Linked DNA regions of Macaca mulatta. The protein of the gene in region 2 binds, or shares a complex with, the protein of the main gene of each other region. Links are inferred from orthologs where the notes say so. Each region holds a gene or a part of one and is shown on either strand. Other genes may lie near its edges.

Region 1 (5,179 bases), on a different chromosome or scaffold from region 2:
TGTGGTCCCACAGTTGTGCCCTCAGAAGCCGCCGTGGCTGCCATGAGGTAGGAGTGGACTGGACGGCCACGGTGGCCCCCCCCGTCTTTCCCGTGCCATGCTCTTTCCAGCCGGGCCCCATCACTCCCCCACACGCGGAAAGGAAGTGGCTTCCCACCCGTCCTGGCCGGGAGTCCTGTGGCAAGGCCTTCCCCAGGGGCTGCCCTTCCAAGTCCCCTGGGCACTAACAAGGCCCCCGCACTCTCCCTGCAGCCGGCTTCGTCCAGGCGCCGCTGTCCCAGCAGAGGTGGGTGGGGGGCAGTGTGGAGCTGCACTGCGAGGCCGTGGGCAGCCCGGTGCCCGAGATCCAGTGGTGGTTTGAAGGGCACGGTCCCAACGACACCTGCTCCCAGCTCTGGGACGGCGCCCGGCTGGACCGCGTCCACATCCACGCCACCTACCACCAGCACGCGGCCAGCACCATCTCCATCGACACGCTTGCAGAGGAGGACACGGGCACCTATGAGTGCCGGGCCAGCAACGACCCGGACCGCAACCACCTGACCCGGGCGCCCAGGGTCAAGTGGGTCCGCGCCCAGGCAGTCGTGCTAGTCCTGGAACGTGAGTGGCGGGCACCGCCCTCCCCACCTCCTTCATTTTCCCTCCTGTGCCGCTCGCCTCCCGGCTCCTGCTCCGTAGAACCCAGACGCCTCCTCCCCTCTCCGTCCCGCTGTGCCCCATGGGCCCACCACCTGGACAGAGGGGCCCGGATCTGAAGAGGGTGGGCTCGCTGCTTGACCAGCAGTGCTGGCAGCCTGGCTTGGGGAGGGCAGGGCTCTGCCCTCCAGCACGTGGGTCCTCGTCCTCCCCTCGACCCTCCTCGTGCCGTCTGTTCCGCCGTTCCTTTCTGCTCCCCTGGGCGCCTGCCCAGCTCCCTCCCTTGCGTCCGTGCTGCAAGCCTGAGGGGCCTCCGAGCTCAGCCCAGGCTTGCAGGTCTCGGAACCTTCTGTGTCCTTCGCAGCGTCTCGTTCTAAGGGATTTTCACATTTCAGTTCCTAGTGGGAATATTGTAAACTGACCAAGAACCAAGAGATTTGCTGGTTGGGGACTGGCAGAAGAACGGGTGCTCCCAGCACTGCTGGAGTGCTGTCAGCCTGGGGTCGGGGGGTGTGGAGCCACCTGGGTGCCACCTAGAGAAGGGCATGGGAGCCTTGGCCAGGGGGTGCTGTGGCTTTTTTTTTTTTTTTTTTTTTCCTGGAGACGGATTCTTGCTCTGTTGCCCAGGTGGAGGGCAGTGGCACGGTATCGGCTCAGTGCAACCTCCATCTCCTGGGTTCAAGCGATTCTCCTGCTTCAGCCTCCCAAGTAGCTGTGATTACAGGCACGAGCCAACACGCTTGGTTAATTTTTTTGTACTTTTAGTAGAGACGGGGTTTCACCATGTTAGCCAGGCTGGTCTTAAACTCCCTACCTTGTGATCCGCCCACCTCAGCCTCCCAAGTGCTGGGCCGGGATTACAGGCGTGAGCCACCGCGCCGGCCGGCTACGTTTTTAGAAAGGAATTTCCAGTTTGTGCTAGGGCTGCTCCAAGAGCCTGATGCCCCGGTCCTGGCTCAGGGACGTGAGTGGTGCCTTGTCTGTCCCCACATCCCGGTCCCAGCCTCGTGTGTCTCCGGGCAGGAACATCACCAGGCGGGGCCGCTCGGTTGCCAGCGCCTTAGCCCAGGGCCCGCCAGCTGCCGGCGAAGGCCACCTTCCCGAAGGGGCCTCCTCAGCAGGCGCTTGTGGCTCTTCTCTTCCCGGAGGCGCGGCCAGAGTTCCCCCTGGGCTTCCAGTCTTCGGGGTGTCAGGGCCACGGTGTTTTCGGGAGTGAAAACAAGCCCTTCCCGGGAGGAGCCACAGGTTCCTGGGGGTCAGGCAGGCAGCGCGGCCGTGCTCCTCCACTCTGCTGACCGCATCTCGCCGGGCCTCGCAGCCGGCACAGTCTCCACTTCCGTAGAAAACATTGGCTCGAAGACACTCCTCACCTGCTCCTTGAACGACAGCTCCACAGAGGTCACCGGGCACCGCTGGCTGAAAGGCGGCGCGGTGCTGAAGGAGGACACGCTGCCCGGCCAGAAAACGGACTTCGAGTGAGTGCCGGACCGCGGAACGCGACCACGTGCCCCTTCTCACAGCTCTCTTGCCGCGAGTGGCCTGTGGTCCGTGAGAACAAAAGACTGGTCGCCAGGCTCGATCCAGGCGGAAGTTAGGGACCAGCTCCACTCGGACCCCCAGAGGGAAACTCCAGGGAGGGGTCTGAGGGCGCCCTTGGGAGCCGGGTGGCTCCAGTAGCCCTGACAGGCGTCCCTGTTGCTCCCTCGCCAGGTCCCGGGCACAAAAGGGCGCCACACTGCCAGGCCCCGGGCACACATGCAGGCCTCCCGGGCTCTGTGCTCCTGACACAAGAGGGCGCCACACGGAGCCCTGCCCGGCTCAGCCCCCAGACGCTGTCATGGCCAGAGCCTTGTCATCACTGGAGCTGGGACGGCCCTGGGAGCACAGAGCCTTTTGTTTTGAGGCTCACTGGGAAGACAGTCCCAGGGTGTGGGGTGCAGAGCAGGGACCAGAGGTGACGGGTTCGTCGTCAGGGAGAGGGTCCTGTTTGCTGGTTCTCTCACCTGGAGGGTCTTGGCAGCCTGGCTCTGTCCCTGGGGCCGTATGGGGACACCAGGAGTTTTGTTGAGGTTCAGACTTGACTGGGACAGTTTGACTTTTTCACTGTGCTGTGGTTGGGCCCCTGGAGAGCCCTGGGTCCTGGGAGGCGTCCTGCAGAGCCGGGCCCAGCTCACCGCCTGCTGTGGTTGCAGGGTGGACTCCGACGACCTCGGGGGAGAGTACTCCTGCGTCTTCCTCCCCGAGCCCACGGGCAGGGCCGACATCCAGCTCGACGGTGAGTCCTGCAGCCAGGGGTGCCGGGCGCCGCCGACTATCGGGGGAAGCGGTTGGCCTGAAGCACCCGGCACATCCCGGAGCCCTGCCCTGCTCCCTGGAGGGGCACAGCCCTCGCGCTGCGGGGAGCCCTGTGGTTCCAGGCTCCTCTCTCTCTCAGCCCTCCTGTCAGGTGCCCCCAGAGTGAAGGCTGTGAAGTCGTCAGAACACGTCAGCGAGGGGGAGACGGCCGTGCTGGCCTGCAAGTCAGAGTCCCTGCCCCCCGTCACCACCTGGGTCTGGTACAAGATAACTGACTCTGGGGACCAGGTGAGAAGCCAGGGCAGCCAGGGGTCCCGGGCTCAGCCCTCAGGACCGGGGGAGGGGCCTAGGTCCGGGGTCCCGGGCTCAGCCCCTGTCCTTGGTCCCCCTAGGTCATCGTGAACGGCTCCCAGGGCAGGTTCTTCGTGAGTTCCTCGCAGGGCCGGTCGGAGCTACGCATCGAGAACCTGAACATGGAGGCCGACCCCGGCAAGTACGCGTGCAATGGCACCAGCTCCGAGGGCACCGACCAGGCCGTGGTCACCCTCCGCGTGCGCAGCCACCTGGCCGCCCTTTGGCCCTTCCTGGGCATCGTGGCTGAGGTGCTGGTGCTGGTCACCATTATCTTCATCTATGAGAAGCGCCGGAAGCCCGAGGACGTCCTGGATGGTGAGCCGTCTGCCCTCCTGCCCACACGCCCCGCTCTTGGGGTGGTCCGGGGCCACTCCTGGTCAGTCCCTGCCAGCCCCACCGCTGACCCAGAGCTCGGAAGCAAGGAGCCCCGGGCGGGGAGTTGATAGCACCCTGAAAGCCAGTGTGGGATGGAGCGTCCGGTCCGTCCCTGGGCAGCTGCGACTCAGTGGGCAGCGAGACCCCAGGAGGAGGAAGAGGCAGCAGTTCACCCCACAGCCTCACCCAACCCTTCCCTCCCCCTCACGTGGCTGCAAGCCAGTGTCCTCCATGGTAAGCCAGCCCTTGCTGTTCCGCCCGACCTCGTGGCAGCTGCGAAGAGCCCAGGGCCATGGTATCAGGGAGTCCTGGCCTCTGCATGATCGGGCTCGGGAACCTGAGGTCAGCCGTGCTCGGCTCCGGCAGCGCCTGGCTCTTCTGCTCCTCAGGCTGCGTGTTCTGGGGCGAGGCCTGTGTGGGCCTGTCGTGGCGGCTCTTGGAAAGCACTGGGGGGCAGGAGTGAGGCCCATGAGGCCGTGGGGACAGCTTACCTTGGGGGGGGGGGACAGCTCGCCGTGGGGAACACACCGCAGATGGGGAGGGCGGGTTTTCCCCGCACCATTCGGCCTCAGAAGATGCACACGGCCGGGGCTGATGCGCTGCCCTGAGCCACCTGGAGGTCACTGAGGGCGGGGCCAGCAGCACAGATGTCCCTGCTCGGGGGCCTGAGTGGGACCAGCTCTGACAGGCTGTTCTCTCGTCCTCTCTTTCATGGTGGCGGTCCTCCTTCAGATGACGACGCGGGCTCTGCTCCCCTGTAAGTCCCAGCTGTGGGGTTCGGGGTCCCAAGGAGCTGCCTGCTGCCCCAGGCCTTTAAAACACAAAGGCAGAGTCCCCCGGCTTCAGTATTCTGGGGTCCTGGGGGCCGGGGTGGGCAGGGGTGACTTGGAGAGGGTGACTTGTCGGAGACACCCTCTCACCCGGCCCCTCATGCCCCAGGAAGAGCACCGGGCAGCACCTGAACGACAAAGGCAAGAAAGTCCGACAGAGGAACTCCTCCTAGCCAGGTGCGGCGGGCGGGCGGGCGGGCGGGAGCTCCTCCTGAGCCGGGGCAGTGGGCTCCTGGGTCCCGCCTGTGGGCCGCTGGGAGGTGGGTCCAGTCTGAGCGCCCCTCCCTGTCCCCAGGTGGCCCGAGGACGCTCCCCGCCCCCGCGTCTGCGTCGCCGCTGGAGTCCACTCCCAGTGCTTGCAAGATTCCAAGTTCTCGCCTCTTAAAGAAAACCCACCCCATAGATTCCCATCATACGCTTTCGTCTTTTTAAAAAAAGTAGGGTTTTCTTTCTGCATTCAGGATTCTGTTCCTTAGGTTTTTTCCTTTGTGAGTATTTCTCAGAGCCCGGGAGCTGCGGCGCCGCGGCCCGCCTGTGGCTTTCCACCTCTGGGTCTGAGTCACGGCGGGTGGGCGGCGCAGCCTCCTCCACTGGCTGCGGAAGGTCACAGGTCACACGAGGGGCCCGCGTCCTGCCTGTCTGAAGCCAATGCTGTCTGGTTGCGCCATTTTTGCGCTTTTATGTTTAAT
Region 2 (5,270 bases):
GCTAATTTTTCTTTCTTTTTTTTTTTTTTTTCTTTTTTTTTTTGTAGAGACGAGGTCCCACTTTGTTACCCAGGCTGGTCTTGAACTCCTGAGCTCAAGTTACCTGCTACCTCAGCCTCCTAAGGGCTGGGATTATAGGTGTCGGCCATTGTGCCTGGCCCAGAAGTTTTAATTGTAATTTTTATAATTTCGAAGATAATAAAGTGTGTAAGGTGCCTGATGCAGCGTAGGTAACTTTTTAGTTAAGAAACAATTTAATACGTTGGGAGGCCAAGGTACACAGGTGGCTTGAGGCCAGAGTTGGAGACCATCCTGGGTAACATAGTGAGACCTCATCTCTTCAAAATTTTAAAAAAGAAACAAGAAACAATATATTGAATGCCTTCATCCAGTCAGGTTTTCATTGCGCATCTCTTCTGTGCCTGTTACTGTGCTGGGGACACAGCAGTGAACAAGATGAACCCAGCCCCTGCCCTGCCAGGGTAATAGACTAAAACAAGTAGCTAGGGTACAACGTGCTGAGTGACTGGAAAAGGGAGAGGCAGGTGGCGGAGGCTCACAGGGCCCCCCTGAGCAAGGGTGAAGTTTATAGTGAGGAGCTTTGGGAGGGTTTTTGTCCATAAAAGGAAAGTGACTTGCCCATTTTCACAGACCCAGACAGTGGCCAAGCTGAATAGGGCCCCGACTCACATCCAATTCAGGGTCCCCTTTGCCTTCCTCCACCCCTGCCATAAATGCCACAGTCTCTCAAGGAAGCAGTCCTCACTCTGCCGTCACTCGCTGTGTGACCCGGAGAGCCTTCCTGTGCAAGATGGAGGTTGGATTTGATCTCCAAGGGCCCTTTCGTCTTGCTAGTCTGAGTCTATGTATTGATTGAAAAAACAATAATAGCGGTTGTCACAATCGAGGGCCAGCTATTAGCCGGGCCCTGTGGGAAGCACTTACAGTCATCATTGCTCAAGTTCACAGCAGCCCTGTAGGTCTGTGCTATCTTGATCTCCATTTTTAGAGAGGTGCAGAAAGGTGAGTGACTTGCCCTGGGTCACTGGGCACTCACTGGGCACGTGTTTTTGTCTGTTGAGGGTTGGGGGTGTCTAGAACCAGGGCCAAGTGCAGACAGTCTGCACTGCGAGTGTGGCAAGGGGTAAGGGGGAAAGACAGATTTTCCCTACTTTTTATTTAGCAAACATCTCTTCCGCTGCTGTTATGTGCCAGGTACTGGGCTGCTGGGGGATCCCAAGTGAGCAGAGTCTGTTTTCTACCCTGGAGGAGCTCAGAGATAAGGAAATAGATAATTACTGTGTGATGAGACTCCAGACAGAGGTGGGTGGCATGTGACAGGGATACCTGACACAGCTGAGTGGGTGGCGTGGGGCCAGGGTGGGTGACTCCAGGGGCTCTTCAAGCTGGGGCCTGTGGGGTAATGGAGGAGTAGGCCGGGGAAGTGGGGCGTGTGCTTCTGGCTACCGAACAGCCTGGGCAGAGCTTGTCAAGGTCACGGAAGGTGGCATGCTGGGCAAACTGGAAAAACATCAGCCCTGCTGAGACCTGGGCGAGGCTAATGGGCACAGATCTGTTTCCAGGCTAGGAGTGGGTTCTGGGCACCTAATAGATTCCCAGTAAACATCTGTCGAATGACTGCGGTGGACAGGAACAGGGGAGGAAGCAGTCGGGAGACGTGCTGGTGCCACTTCCGTCCCTCCCTGGAGGCCCTCGTGCCTCTGCTCCAGGACTGGCAGCCAGGAGGTGGGAAAGGACCCTAGGACCCCTGTTGTAAACTTCTGGATCTTGGAAAATCAAGACTAGGGGTCAGTCTGATGGCCTCTGGTCTTGGAGGAGAGGGGAGGGAAGTGGGGAGACTTTCTGTCCACACAGCAGGGACATCTCTCCTGGCCCTGAGGGCAGCTTTAGCCAGAGCCTGTGGCCACCCCAGGGGATTTTCTACTCCCTTTTTGAGACTAAGAAAGAGGGAATTGAGGCTGTTGATTTTCAGACACTAGAAAGGCTTGTGTTCTTCCCAGAAAGAAAGGGTTATGGGGCCCTGGAAGATGCCCAGGGTGCAGCCAAGGCCCAGGGGTGCTGAGTGCTGGGTGGGCCAGAAGTCACACCCTCTCACCTTTGACAAATACCACCTGCGCAGCAAAGCACTGTGGTGAGGGGCAGGCTCTATATTAGGAGTCAGAGCTTTGCTTTTGGTTATGGGAACTCACTGGCTCTTCTCCAGCTGCAGATTTGCTTTCAGCAAATGAGGGATTCTGATACCTACTCCAGGGTTGCTGGGAGGGGCCCCACGGTACCTGCGACCCCTGGGGAATGCCCAGGACTCATGATTCTGTCCTACTCTTTGCAGGGTTTGGCATCTGCACGTCCTTCCTGGGCATCTCGTGGGCACTGCTCGACTACCACCGGGCCTTGCGCACCTGCCTCCCCTCCAAGCCCCTCCTGGGCCTGGGTTCCTCCGTGATCTACTTCCTGTGGAACCTGCTGCTGCTGTGGCCCCGAGTCCTGGCTGTGGCCCTGTTCTCAGCCCTCTTCCCCAGCTATGTGGCCCTGCACTTCCTGGGCCTGTGGCTGGTACTGCTGCTCTGGGTCTGGCTTCAGGGCACAGACTTTATGCCGGACCCCAGCTCCGAGTGGCTGTACCGGGTGACGGTGGCCACCATCCTCTATTTCTCCTGGTTCAACGTGGCTGAGGGCCATACCCTAGGCCGGGCCACCATCCACTTCGCCTTCCTCCTGACTGACAGCATTCTCCTGGTGGTCACCTGGATGACTTATAGCTCCTGGCTGCCCAGCGGGATTCCCCTGCAGCTGTGGCTGCCTGTGGGCTGCGGCTGCTTCTTTCTGGGCCTGGCTCTGCGGCTTGTGTACTACCGCTGGCTGCACCCTAGCTGCTGCTGGAAGCCCGACCCTGACCAGGTAGACGGGGCCCGGAGTCTGCTTTCCCCAGAGGAGTATCAGCTGCCTCAGAACAGGCGCATGACACGGTTAGCACAGAACTTTTTCCCCAAGGCTAAGGATGAGGCTGCTTCGCCAGTGAAGGGAGAGGTGAATGGCGTCCTTTGAAGCAGGATCAGACCCAGCTGGCAGAGATGGAGAGTGACTCTGCTGGCAGAAGGCAGGTGAGGATAAGCTAATGATGCTGCTGTGGCCTCCATGCACTCAGCAATAATGGGACGCCTATGCTGGGCCGGGCACCAGGGATGGTGCTGAATGGGGCAGAGGCCTGCCTTAAAGGAGTTCACAGTGAACAAGATGAGAAAGGCTGGGCCCTGCAGGGTCAAGAGCCCCAATTATGTACAAGACGCTTTGGGAGGAAAGAAGACTACCTTTTCTTTTCCCCCTGCCATTGGTATAGCTGGTGCCCCAAAACTTCCACCTCCCTGGCCACTTCTAAAATGACTGGTATAGGTGCTGCCCCACCCCTTAGCTCCCCTATCCTGGGCTAGAAGGCCACAGGGGCTGTCCTCTAGAATTCTTCCTCCCCTCCCCCACACCATTCCTTCAATTCATGAAAGAAATCTTCGTGGAGAGCAGTTTATATGCCAGGAACATCATTCTGTCCTTGCAACCTGGAACAAGACCAGCTACCACCCCAGCTTCATCCCCTACTTGCACCAACCAGTCCTGGGTTAGATCTCAAATGCCAGAAGCCAGGGATGCCCAACTCTTGGTGGCCCCAGTTAGAACCTCTGAGATCTCAGTGAAGCTGGCCTGGCCTCTGCTCCTGCTCTCAAGGGGCTGCTTTTCAACCGAGAGCCTTGGGAGCCTGGTCTGAGCCTTGTACAACCACTGAGTATTTTTTATTCCTTAGCCAGTGTACCTCCTACCTCAGAGTCTGTGTGAGAGGAAGAGAATGTGTGTCCCTGTGGGTGTCCGCAAGTGTCAGACGTGTTGTTTTTAACAGTATTACTAGGTTATGATTAAAGCCTCATGAAATCCTCCAACCTAGTCTGTGTCATCGAATGAAATCTCTTATGGAGTTCAGAGCCTGAACTAGAAGAGGTCAGGGGCATAAAATCTACCTCTCAAAATTAGTCAGGGTCCATGAACAGAGAGGTCTGGCTTAGGTGGGGCTTCTCAACCTCGTGTTTGAAGTTTCAGGAGCTGGTGAGCCAGCATGGGGTTGACAGCTCAGCTGGAGATAAGAATCCAGATCTGGGCTTAGTGCATCCCTCTTCACCACCAGCTCTGCTGCTGGGCCCAGCAGGAGTGGCCACAAACACATTTAGGGCCAGGAAGTGAATATAGGAGCCTGGTGAAGAAAGGTCTTGCTGGGACCTCTGAGACGTTAAGTAATGAGGTGCCTTAGGGGATGCGAATGTGGTGGGTGATGGTGCTGGGGAAGTGGAACCTTTTGCTGTTCTAGGAGGTCTGTGGTTTGGAGAAACAAGGGACAGAAAAATCTCTTGAGATAGAGAAGAAAAGGTTCCAGTCACTGCTGTGATGGGATCCAGGATAGTCTCAGCTCTGTTACTATTCTGGTGGAGACACAAAAACCAGGATAAGTAAAACATTTAGTATATCAGATAGTGTTAAGTGCTGAAAGAAAAAGGGAAAGGGATAGGGAGAGAGAGTAGGTGTTTGTGTGTTGGGGGTGGGAATTACAACTTTATATAGAATGGCTGGGGAAGGCCTTCCTGCAAAACGGGTAAGCTGGTTAGCAGTGACTTGGGGGTGGCCTATAAATGTCATGAGAAGGAGCAGAACCTGGAGTCACTGGTAGCTTGAACCACTGTGACGGAAGGAATGATGCAAACAGAATTCCACAGGATGAAGAAGGACTTGTAACCACTCTGTTGGCCTGGAGCTAAAGATGACCCAGAGATGAAGGGTGGGAGCAGGAAGAGGATCTGGGAAGACGATGCTAGTGACTTTTACATACAAGCAATGGTTAGAGGCAGAAAGGATCCTGCAGATCATCCTGTCTAGTGATTTTCAGACTTTTGAATATCATGTACCTATAAAATGGCCAACATGGTTGAAACTTAATTTTAACAAAGAAAGGGCATTAAAGACTACCACCATTTGGCTGGGCATGGTGGCCCACACCTGTAATCCCAGTACTTTGGGAGGCCAAGGCGGGTGGATCACCTGAGGTTGGGAGATCGTGACCAGCCTGACCAACATGGAGAAACGCCATCTCTACTAAAAATACAAAATTAGCCAGGCGTGGTGGCGCATGCCTGTAATCCCAGCTACTCGGGAGGCTGAGGCAGGAGAATCGCCTGAACCCGGGAGGCAGAGGTTGCGGTCAGCCAACATCGTGG

Evidence for each region. Proteins that work in one complex are often made in the same cells at the same time.
Region 1: the proteins of XKR8 (region 2) and BSG are in contact, whole or in part, in a cryo-EM structure (PDB 7DCE), measured with the Homo sapiens proteins. The link is inferred for Macaca mulatta from reciprocal best matches to the Homo sapiens genes XKR8 and BSG. Residues at the interface, in NP_060523.2 of Homo sapiens: His232, Leu236, Val239, Leu242, Trp243, Leu246, Gln247, Arg280, Gly283, Arg284, Ile287, Phe291, Ser294, Asp295, Leu298, Ala301, Thr302; in NP_001719.2 of Homo sapiens: Trp326, Pro327, Gly330, Ile331, Glu334, Val335, Leu338, Val339, Ile341, Ile342, Phe343, Tyr345, Glu346, Lys350.

The regions. Positions count from the first base shown.
Region 1 is NC_133424.1:1,222,308-1,227,486, forward strand, and holds the end of BSG (basigin), read left to right. Parts: intron 1-252; coding exon 253-600; intron 601-1,954; coding exon 1,955-2,111; intron 2,112-2,828; coding exon 2,829-2,911; intron 2,912-3,070; coding exon 3,071-3,219; intron 3,220-3,323; coding exon 3,324-3,728; 3' UTR 3,729-3,898; downstream 3,899-5,179.
Region 2 is NC_133406.1:212,984,196-212,989,465, reverse strand, and holds the end of XKR8 (XK-related protein 8), read left to right. Parts: intron 1-2,350; coding exon 2,351-3,066; 3' UTR 3,067-3,944; downstream 3,945-5,270.